Linked DNA regions of Anolis sagrei. The protein of the gene in region 1 interacts with the protein of each later gene in a biochemical or structural test. Links are inferred from orthologs where the notes say so. Each region holds a gene or a part of one and is shown on either strand. Other genes may lie near its edges. The genes, in order: UBE2D1, RLIM and RNF4.

Region 1 (3,755 bases):
TAACAACAATACAAGCAATTAAAAATAAAACATGGACAATATAATAATGAAACATTAACACTAATGTGGGATTTTCAGCCTTGATATTCCAGGATATAGGACTGTGGTGAAGAGTCCTCAGAATATCAAGGTGGAAAATCCCACAATATCTGCTTTGAACTGTGTTATCTGGGTCCACACTCAGATAATGTGGGATTTTCTGCTTTGATATCCTGGGATATAGGACTGTGTGGAAGGCCCTCAGAATATCAAGGCAGGAAATCCCACATTATCTGAGTGTGGGCTCAGATAACCCAGTTAAAAGCAGATATTCTTGGATGTTCTGCTTTGATATTCTGGGTTATATGGCTGTGTGGAAGGGCCCCCAGTACAAAGCAGATATTGCGGGTTATCTGCCTTGATAGTCTGGGTTATATGGCCATGTGGAGCGGCCCAAGATCTTCCAGCACAACTCCATGGTAAATTTCTGATGGGTTTAGAGGGCTTTATAGGCTTTGGCTTCTAAAGCCCTAAACGGTTCTGGCCCAACTTACCTGTCCGAACGAACCATGCATTATCTGAGTGTGGACCCAGATAACCCAATTCAAAACTGATTTCCTGTCTTGTGGGATTTCCTGTCTTGATATTCCGAGGGTCCATCAACACAACCCTATATCCCAGAACATCAAGGCAGAAAATCCCACATTATCTGAGTGTGGACCCTAATTCAAAGCTGATATTGTGGGATTTTCTGCCTTGATGTTCTGAAATATAGGGCTGTGTGGAAGGGCACCCAGAATATCGAGGCATGAAATCCCACAATATGTGTTTTGAGCTGGGTTATTTCAGTCCACACTCAGATAATGTGGGATTTTTCTGCTTTGATATTCTGGGATATAGGGCTGTGTGGAAGGGCCCCCAGGACATCAAGGCAGGAAATCCCACATTATCTGAGTGTGGACCCAGATAACCCAATTCAAAGCTGATATTCTGGGTGCCCTTCCACACAGCCCTATACCCCAGAATATCAAGGCAGAAAATCCCACATTATCTGAGTGTGGACCCAGATAACCCAATTCAAAGCTGATATTGTGGGATTTCCTGCCTTGATGTTCTGAAATATAGGGCTGTGTGGAAGGGCCCCCAGAATATTGAGGCATGAAATCCCACAATATGTGTTTTGAGCTGGGTTATTTCAGTCCACACTCAGATAATGTGGGATTTTTCTGCTTTGATATTCTGGGATATAGGGCTGTGTGGAAGGGCCCCCAGGATATCAAGGCAGGAAATCCCACAATATCTGTTTTGAGTTGGGTTATTTCAGTCCACACTCAGATAATGTGGGATTTTTCTGCCTTGATATTCTGGGATATAGGGCTGTGTGGAAGGGCCCCCAGGATATCAAGGCAGGAAATCCCACAATATCTGCTTAGAGCTGGGTTATCTGAATCCACAATGCCATATATTCCAGTTCAAAGCAGATATTGTGGGACCTCCTGCCTTGATATTCTAAGGGCCCTTCAACACAGCCCTATATCGCAGGATATCAAGGCAGAAAATCCCACATTATCTGAGTGTGGACCCAGATAACCCAATTCAAAGCTGATATTGTGGGATTTTCTGCCTTGATGTTCTGGGATATAGAGCTGTGTGGAAGGGCCCCCATGATATCAAGGCATGAAATCCCACAATATCTGTTTTGAGCTATGTTATCTCAGTCCACACTCAGATAATGTGGGATTTTTCTGCTTTGATAGGATATAGGGCTGTGTGGAAGGGCTCCCAGGATATCAAGGCAGGAAATCCCACAGTATCTGCTTTGAACTGGGTGATCTGAATCCACAATGCCATATATTCCAGTTCAAAGCAGATATTGTGGGACCGCCTGCCTTGATAGTCTGGATGATATGGCTGTGTGGAAGGGCTCCCAAGAGACATCTCAGGCCAAGATCCCCAAATAGGAGTGATAAGAGCTGCTCCAACCTGAACAGACAAAGCGAAGGCGACACAAGCGGGGGGCCCTTCCCTTGGAGGCCTTGGCACAGGCTCTCGCGAGATCTTGCGCCTCCCCCCCCCCCCCCCGTCAGGAACCCCCTCGCTCGCGCGCCACCTCGAGAAGGAGGAGGAGGCCCTCACAGCTCGACGCTCTCTCCGTTCCCAACGGGCGGGCTGACGGGCGGCCTTGCTCACCTTCTGTATCCGCTTGAGCGCCATGGGGAGCCCGGGGATGCGGCCCGCTGAGGGGAAGCCGTGAAGGGGGAGCCCAGGAGGAAGAGGCGTCGGCGTCGGGGGCCGTGCTGCGGAGGCCGGGGCCGAGGCGCCTCTCCGCTCCCAGTCGAAGGGTCTTTTGTTTCCGCTTGTACTAATAAGACCCCCCGCGGCCCCGCCCACACCGGCGCCAGGCCGCCAGAGGCATGCCGGGAAGCGTAGTTCCAGAACCACAGCCTCGCCCGCGCAGCGCCCCCTGCCGCCCGGATGAAGTCATGACTCCGCACAGTGCAGGGTGTTTGACATCTATCTATCTTCTATCTGTATAAGGACCAAGGCTCCTCCATGATGACATGATGGCAACAGTTTTGGACAGCAATGGCTCCCAAAGTGACCCATTTAAGGTGGAATCCGGTGTCAAACAGGGATGTGTTATTGCCCCAATTCTAGTCTCCATCTTCATCGCTATGATATTTCACCTTGTTGATGGGAAGCTTCCCACCAGAGTGGAAATCATCTATCGGACAGATGGCAAGCTATTCAACCTCAGCAGACTGAAAGCCAAAACCAAGGTCACAACAACATCTGTTATAGAACTCCAGTATGCTGATGACAACGTCATCTGTGCGCATTCAGAAGAAGAGCTACAAGCCACCCTAAACACCTTCGCAGAGGCCTGTCATTGAACATTGAAAAAACCAAGGTGCTGTTCCAGCAGTCACAAGCCATCCCCTCCCCAATGCCAGAGATACAGCTTAATGGTGTAACATTAGAAAATGTTGATCATTTCCGCTACCTTGGCAGCCACCTCTCCACCAAAGTCAACATCGACACCGAAATACAACACCGCCTGAGCTCTGCGAGTGCAGCATTTTCCCGAAAGAAGCAGAGAGTGTTTGAGGACCGGGACATCCATAGGGATACCAAGGTGCTTGTCTATAAAGCGATTGTCCTCCCAATCCTGCGATACGCCTGTGAGACGTGGACTCTCTACAGACGTCACATACAACTCCTGGAACGATTCCATCACCGCTGCCTCCGGAAAATCCTGCAAATCTCTTGGGAAGACAGGCGGACAAATGTCAGCGTGCTGGAAGAAGCAAAGACCACCAGCATTGAAGCGATGGTCCTCCGCCACCAACTCTGCTGGACCGGCCACGTTGTCCGGATGCCCGACCACCGTCTCCCAAAGCAGTTGCTCTACTCCGAACTCAAGAATGGAAAACGGAATGTTGGTGGGCAGGAAAAGAGATTTAAAGACGGGCTCAAAGCCAACCTTAAAAACTCTGGCATAGACAGTGAGAACTGGGAAGCCCTGGCTCTTGACCGCTCCAGCTGGAGGTCAGCTGTGACCAGCAGTGCTGCAGAATTTGAGGAGGCACGAATGGAGGGCGAAAGGGAGAAGCGTGCCAAGAGGAAGGCGTGTCAAGCCAACCCCGACCGAGACCACCTTCCACCTGGAAACCAATGCCCTCACTGCGGAAGAAGATGCAGAGCAAGAATAGGGCTCCACAGCCACATACAGACCCACAAGAATGTTGGAAGATAATCATCCTCGGAAAACGAGG
Region 2 (3,755 bases), on another chromosome or scaffold:
ATTATTCATCTATTTTATTATTATCCACTACATATTTATCTATTTATTATTATTATCCAATAACTATTTATTATTCATCTATTTTATTATTATCCAATAAATACTTATTTTATTTTTTATTATTATCCATTAAATATTTATCTATATTATTATTATCCACCACATACTTATCTATTTATTATTATTATCCAATAAATATTTATTATTTACCTATATTATTATTATTATTATTATTATTATTATCTTCCTTCTTGACCTTAGTATCTACTACATATTTATCTATTTATTATTATTATTATCCAATAAATATTTCTTATTTATCTATTTTATTATTATTATTATTAATTATTTTAATTATTATTTCATTATTTTTATTTAATTATTTTTATTGGATTTATTATTATTATTTTATTATTATCCACTACATATTTATCTATTTATTATTATTATTATTATTATTATCCAATAAATATTTATTATTTATCTATTTTAATATTATTATTAATTATTTTAATTATTATTTTATTATTATTTATTTTATTATTTTATTATATTATTATCCACTACATATTTATCTATTATTATTATTATTATTATTATTCAATAAATATTTATTGTTTCTCTATTTTTTATTATTATTATTATTATTATTATCTTCCTTCTTGACTTTAGTATCTACTACATATTTATCTATTTATTATTATTATTATCCAATAAATATTTCTTATTTATCTATTTTATTATTATTATTATTATTATTATTATTATTAATTATTTTAATTATTATTTTATTATTTTTATTATTTTTATTTAATTATTTTTATTGGATTTATTTTATTATTATTTATTTTATTATTTTATTTTATTATTATCCTGTACATGTTTATCTATTTATTATTATTATTATTATTATCCAATAAATATTTATTATTTCTCTATATTATTATTATTATTATTATTTTCTTCCTTCTTGACCTATTCTATTCTTCTTGGTTCAGTTCCTGTTCAAAATGGACGCCCCCATTGAGCCGCTCTCTCTCCTCAGTCCTCCACACTCTATGACCGACACATTTCTCCACTCTCTCACTATAATCCAGCCGGATAGGTTTAGCAACGGAGCATGCGCACTTCCGCCACGCATTCTATAGGTTCAGCAACGGAGCATGCGCACTTCCTCCACCTGCGCACGCATTCCAGTCAGTGGCGAACGAGGATGGGTTACTGAGAAGTGGGGGGGGGGGGGAGACGTCACTTCCGCCTCCTGCGTGCGCAACGGAGCCCAAACCAACGGGGCTGGGCCTCTCCCTGTGCCGTGCGCATGCGCACTCTCCTCTCGTCCCCCTCCTCCCTCCCGCTTCCGGTCCCCGAGTTCCTTAGTAACAATGGAGCCTAAGATGGCGGCCTGAGAGGACGGAGGGCGAGAGAGGAGCCGGGGAAAGGAAGCAGGCGGACAGGGAGAAGGAAGGCCAGCCGCGTCGGGTCCGGCGGACGGAGAACGCAGGAGAGGAGGGAGAAGGAGGCCGCGGACGGAGGTGAGCAAGCCGGCCGAGGGAGGCAAACAGTCAGGCAGGCTTCGACAGAGAACTAGGCCGCAGCCCTTCCTTCCTCCCTCTGCGTTTCCTGCTTGGTGAGGCCTTCAGGGGAATGGCCTCCATACAATTCCCACACAGCCCCACATTCTCTGCTTTGAACCGGATTATATAGCCGTGTGGACTCATTTGGTCCAATTCAAAGCAGGCATTGATATATTGTATGTACATATAACTTGTAAGCTGCTCTAAGTCCCCTTCGGGGAGGGAAGGGCGGCATACAAATGTCATTTTTTTGTCGTTGAGAAACTGCAAGTCGTTTCTGGTGTGAGAGGATTGGGCTGGATATCTGCCTTGATATCCAGGGAGATATGGCTGTGTGGAAAGGCCCGGAGACTCGGAGCCCATCTACGCAGCCATAGAACATCAAAACAGAGAACCCACAATGTCAGCGTTGAACTGGGTTCCCTGAGTCCACACTGCCCTTTATCCCAGGATCTGATCCCAGAGTATCTGATTTAAACTGGAATATAATCATCATAATAAACTTAATTTTTTAACCCACCCACTGGCATTGAATGTTTGCCATTTTCCCTTTTTGGAAGCCTCCCTGAGTTCTCTCGGGGAGACTAATTATGTGTGTGTATGTGTATGTGTGTGTGTGTGTGTGTGTGTGTATATATATATATATATATATATACACACACATACATACACAAACACACACACAATTAGTCTCCCCGAGGGGACTCAAGGAGGCTTCCAAAAAAGTAAAATGGCAAACATATATATGTGTGTGTGTATATATATATATATATAAATGCTCTGTGCGTAATGAGTACCTTAAAAACAAAAGGACCAATGAATGAAATCACACCAAATTTGGCAACAAATGTCTCACAACACAAGGAGTGACCATCACTCAAAAAATTATGATTTTGTCATTCAGGAATTGTAGTTGCTGGTATTTATAGTTCACCTACAATCAAAGAGCATTCTGAACTCCACCAACATTGGAATTGAACCAAACTTGCCGCGCAGAACTCCCATGAGTAACAAAAAATACTGGAAAGGTTTGGTGGGCATTGACCTTGAGTTTGGGAGTTGTAGTTCACTTACATCCAGAGAGCACTGTGGACTCTGCCTTGATATTCAGGGAGATATGGCTGTGTGGAAAGGGCCGGGGACTCAGAGCCCTTCTACACAGCCATAGAACATCAAGGCAGAGAACCCACCATGTCAGCTTTGAACTGGGTTTCCTGAGTCCACACTGCCCTTTCTCCCAGGATCTGATCCCAGATTATCTGATATAAACTGGAATATAATCATAATCAACTTTATTTTTTAACCCATCCACTTTCCCTGAGGGGGAGTGTGTGTGTGTGTATGGCATTGAATGTTTGCCATTTTCCTTTTTTGGAAGTCTCCCCGAGTCCCCTCAGGGAGACTAATTATGTGTGTGTGTGTGTGTGTGTGTGTGTGTATATACATACATACACACACACACACATAATTAGTCTCCCTGAGGGGACTCAGGGAGGCTTCCAAAAAAGTAAAATGGCAAACACACACACACACACACACACATATATGTATATACATGCTCTGTGCGTAATGAGAACCTTAAAAACAAAAGAACCAATGAACGAAATCACACCAAATTTGGCAACAAAACGTCTCACAACACAAGGACTGACCATCACTCAAAAAATTATGATTTTGTCATTTGGGAGACTCAATGTTATATTATTAGCATAGCACAATATTAGTATTATAGGGTTGTTGTAGGTTTTTCCAGCTATATGGCCATGTTCCAGAAGCATTCTCTCCTGACATTTCACCTGCATCTATGGCAGGCATTCTCAGAAGTTGTGAGGAGCTGCATCTATATGCAGGCGAAACGTTAGGAGATATAATGCTTCTAAAACATGGCCATATAGCCAAAAAACCCTACAACAACCCAGTGTTTCTGGCCATGAAAGCCTTCGACAATATAAAAGTATTATATATTAGTATATTGTACTAATACCACTTTACAGTAATATTATTAGTCATATCGCATGTAATATAAAATATAATTATTATATTGTAGTATTATTATTAGTATTATATTGTATTACATTATAATATTATCAGTATTATATATGTATACAATATATTATATTATTGGCACAGCACAATATTAGTATTATATATTACTATACTGTACTATACTGCTATACTGTA
Region 3 (3,755 bases), on another chromosome or scaffold:
GGAGAGAGCACCTACACAGCACCCAACTCCTGTACTGTAGCAGCACAGAGACCTCTGGAGAAATTCAGTGTCTCCTACTTTAAAAAACTTCTGGTGTTTGGATATCAGCCAGCACGCCAACGCCTTAAATCAAGAATGGGTTTTCTAAGATTTACAGAGATACTCACAAGTGAGAGTCCAAAACTGGCAGGCTAAAACCTGGAACCCCAAGACATGGCTGATACTGAATGAGACTCCTCCCTGGGCACACAGAAAACTGGGCTGAACAGACTGCACCTGGCACCATGAGATGCAGAGCCAACCTTATGAAATGGGGCTGCACAGTGGAATCTACGACATGTGAGTGTGGAGAAGAGCAAACCATAGACCACCTCTTACAATGCAGTCTGAGTCCTGTCACATGTACAGTGGAGGACCTTCTTATAGCAACACCCGAAGCACTCCAAGTGGCCAGCTACTGGTCAAAGGACATTTTAGTATAATGCCAAGTTTTTAAAAAATACATTACAAATGTACCCTCGGTTTGCTTCCAATACTATAAATAAATTCCTAAGAAAGGGGCCTGTGGCTTCACAAAAGGCTGAGTCATCCTGGATTCCAATAGGAGTGACTCTGCTGCTGCAGCGATTTACGGTATATACTCGAGTATAAACCTAGTTTTTCAGACTCTTTTTAGGCTGAAAAAGCTCCCCTCGGCTTATACTTGAGTCAAGGTTATTCTTTTACTCTGTTATTAGTAATATTTTATTACATTTATTATTTTACTCTATTATTCTATTTACATTATTTTGCTCTATTATTATTATTATTACATTTACAGTATTTTACCCTATTATTACATTTATTATTTTAATCTATTTATTATTATTATTATTATATTTACAGCATTTCCCCGTTATTGCTACATTTATTATTTTACTCTACTATGACTGTTTTTATTACATTTTCATTATTTCACTGTATTATTTTTTATTATATTTATTATTTTAATAATAAGTACATTTACTTATAGGTTAACATAATGGTTTAATAAGAGTTGGGCAGTCTTATCTTAAATTACAGTTTTATGTAAACATTCAAAAACATTTAGCCTATTGATGCCTCAATTAATGTAATTTTATTGGTATCTATTTTTATTTTGAAATTGACCCATAGTGGATGCATTTCCCACCCTCGGCTTATACTCGAGTCAATACATCTTCCCAGTTTTTGTGATAAAATTAGGTGCCTCGGCTTATACTCGAGTATATACAGTACATTTGACTGGGTTTTTTTTTGTCTTGGCACTCAGAAGGCCAAAATGGGGGAGTGGCTTATGTCTGGATTGAAAACCGCCCTGAACAACTGACCCACAAAAACAACACTGGGTGCAAAACGTAGGCCTGCGTCTCCAATGCCCTCATTTTTCTTCTCTTGTATGCATGATTCTTCAAAGGTCTCTAATGCCCTCATTTTCCTTCACTTCTATGTATGATTCTTCAGAGGGCGCAGAAGCCAGTGGAGCTTCGAAATCTGACATGAAGCGTTTCTCCGCATTTTGCGTTGGCCCAGATAGGTACATCTCTCTTTGGTGGACTTTGTTCCATTTGTTCGAGCTATGCCATGACTCAGCACTAAAAGCCGAATACCCTGAACGCGGAAGGCTTGAAACAACAAAAGGAAAAAACCAAACAAATGCCTCTTAAAACTCTGATAATTCCCCCCGTCTTTTGCCGACTCAGTTCTAAGTCTTCAGCTTTTTTTCTACCCGGGCCAGGACCTTCTTAAAGGCTTCCTCATGCCAGGCTCCCACTCCCTCGGCCGCCATTTCCCTGCTTGGAAGACAGGCCCTGCCTTCCTTCCTTCCTTCCCCTCACACCCCTCCCTCATATTGTTAAGCCTTTGGAGACAATCTCACCGAAATGGGAGAGGAATCTCCCGGGGAAGAAGCGGCGAGGAGCCTGGCGCCGAGGCCTCCCTGTCGCGAGTGCCGATGGTTCAACGGAGGGAAGGAAGGAAGCAAGCCAAGGGGCTCTCTTTCTCCTCAGCCGTCGACTACGGCGTCCCGAGAAAGCGCCGCCTTGCTCACTCCGAGCCGAGCGGTTGAGACGGTTGGGAAAACGGCCTCGAACGCCTTCCTTTTCGAAGCACTCTCACGCCTTTTCCGTTCCCTCAGGATTCTCGCCCGACTCTGTGCGGCTGAGGGAAAGAATGCTGACGTCACTTCCGCCTCCACCCCCACCGGTCGGAGGCAGCACTGCGCCTGCGTCGACGCGCGCGAGCGCCTCACCCTCCTAGACACACACCATACGGGCTCTTGGAAGCTCTTGGAGGCCAAGGAGGCGTGCGCATGCGCCCCTTTCTGGTTCTTCTCCTCCTCCCTCCTTCTCCTCTTCCTTCCCCTTCCCCACGTGACATGAGGCGGAGACGGAAAGGTCGCCTGCGACGTCGTCGTCAGCAGCAGCAGCGAGGGAGGGAGGAGGAGGAGGAAGAGGGGGGAGAGAGCGGAAGGTCAGGGCGCTGCGGAGCGGAAGTAGGAGCCGGAGCGCGTCCGCCATTGTGGGAAAGCGAAGCCCCGAGAGGAGAAGGGAGGGAAGCCGACGCCGCCGCCGCGCTCGCAGCGTCCAGCGGGTTGCTTTCCGAGGAGAAGGAGGAGGGGGCCGAGCTGCGGAGACAATCAGGCGGCGGAGGAGGAGGAGAGAGTGGCGGAGGAAGCGGCGCTTGGAGGGAAGCGGGACCCACGAGCAGGCCCGAGCGGAGCGGAGGGGGTGAGGGGGATTGCGCGCCCCTTGAAGAATGTCAGCCACCAGCGTCGACCAGGTAGCCGGCCCGGCCTCCTTTCTTTCTCCCTCCCTCCTTTCCTTCCTTCCGCCGGGCATAGCGGGGATCCGCGGCCGCTACATCCGCGGCCGAGCGGCGGCTCCTCCCCCGTTTCCCAGCGCCGCCCCCTCGCAGGCCTGGAGGCCGCTGCTCAGCCTCGGGCTCGCCACTGAGGAAGGCCGCTGGGCTGCTCCGGGCCTCTCGAGCAGGCCTTCCCCTTTCCTGGCGCCCTCCGCGGCCGTCCCTCCCCATCCGGGCCCGGCGAGCGGGGTTTTGGGCCCTGAGGGCTTGCCTTCCCCGTCGCCTCCTCGGAGGTGTCTTCTCATCACTGCGACCCCTTCCTGGTTGTGTGTGTGTGTATTTCTTGGAATATGTATATAAATAAAAATGTAATGTTCGTTTGTGGGATTAACAGAACTCAAAAACCACTGGACGAATTGACACCCAATTTGGACACAATACACCGAACAGTCCAACGAGTGTCCATCACCCCTAAAAATACACACACACACAACCCCAGCGGAGCAGACTTAAACCCCCCCCAAAAAAACCCACCATATACACATACACTCATACATATTTACATGCACACATTTGTGTATATATATATATGCACAAACACACACAAATATACACACACATATATACCCAAATATTCATATAGACAAGCACACATACACAATATACATGCATACATATAAACACAAATACACAAATATATACACAGACTAGGCCACAGAAACACGTGGTAGGGGATGGCTTGTGTGTGTGTGTGTGTGTGTGTGTGTGTATATATATATATATATATACACACATATACACATACATTTATATGCCACCCGTCTCACCCCGAAGGGGACTCAGAGCATCTTACAAGTAAAAATACAATATATTATATTATTACTATAGCACAATATTAATATTATATATTACATTGTACTATAACATTATACTCT

The links.
Region 2: the proteins of UBE2D1 (region 1) and RLIM form a complex in vitro, tested with the Homo sapiens proteins (5 studies listed by BioGRID). The link is inferred for Anolis sagrei from reciprocal best matches to the Homo sapiens genes UBE2D1 and RLIM.
Region 3: the proteins of UBE2D1 (region 1) and RNF4 form a complex in vitro, tested with the Homo sapiens proteins (12 studies listed by BioGRID). The link is inferred for Anolis sagrei from reciprocal best matches to the Homo sapiens genes UBE2D1 and RNF4.

What each region holds. Positions count from the first base shown.
Region 1 is NC_090023.1:178,057,424-178,061,178, forward strand, and holds the start of UBE2D1 (ubiquitin-conjugating enzyme E2 D1), read right to left. Parts: upstream 2,459-3,755; 5' UTR 2,194-2,458; coding exon 2,170-2,193; intron 1-2,169.
Region 2 is NC_090030.1:32,286,788-32,290,542, reverse strand, and holds the start of RLIM (E3 ubiquitin-protein ligase RLIM), read left to right. Parts: upstream 1-1,334; 5' UTR 1,335-1,532; intron 1,533-3,755. UniProt on the Homo sapiens protein: E3 ubiquitin-protein ligase.
Region 3 is NC_090024.1:46,924,178-46,927,932, reverse strand, and holds the start of RNF4 (E3 ubiquitin-protein ligase RNF4), read right to left. Parts: upstream 2,237-3,755; 5' UTR 1,898-2,236; intron 1-1,897. Other genes in the region: YTHDF3 (YTH domain-containing family protein 3), read left to right, coding at 2,776-2,799. UniProt on the Homo sapiens protein: E3 ubiquitin-protein ligase which binds polysumoylated chains covalently attached to proteins and mediates 'Lys-6'-, 'Lys-11'-, 'Lys-48'- and 'Lys-63'-linked polyubiquitination of those substrates and their subsequent targeting to the proteasome for degradation.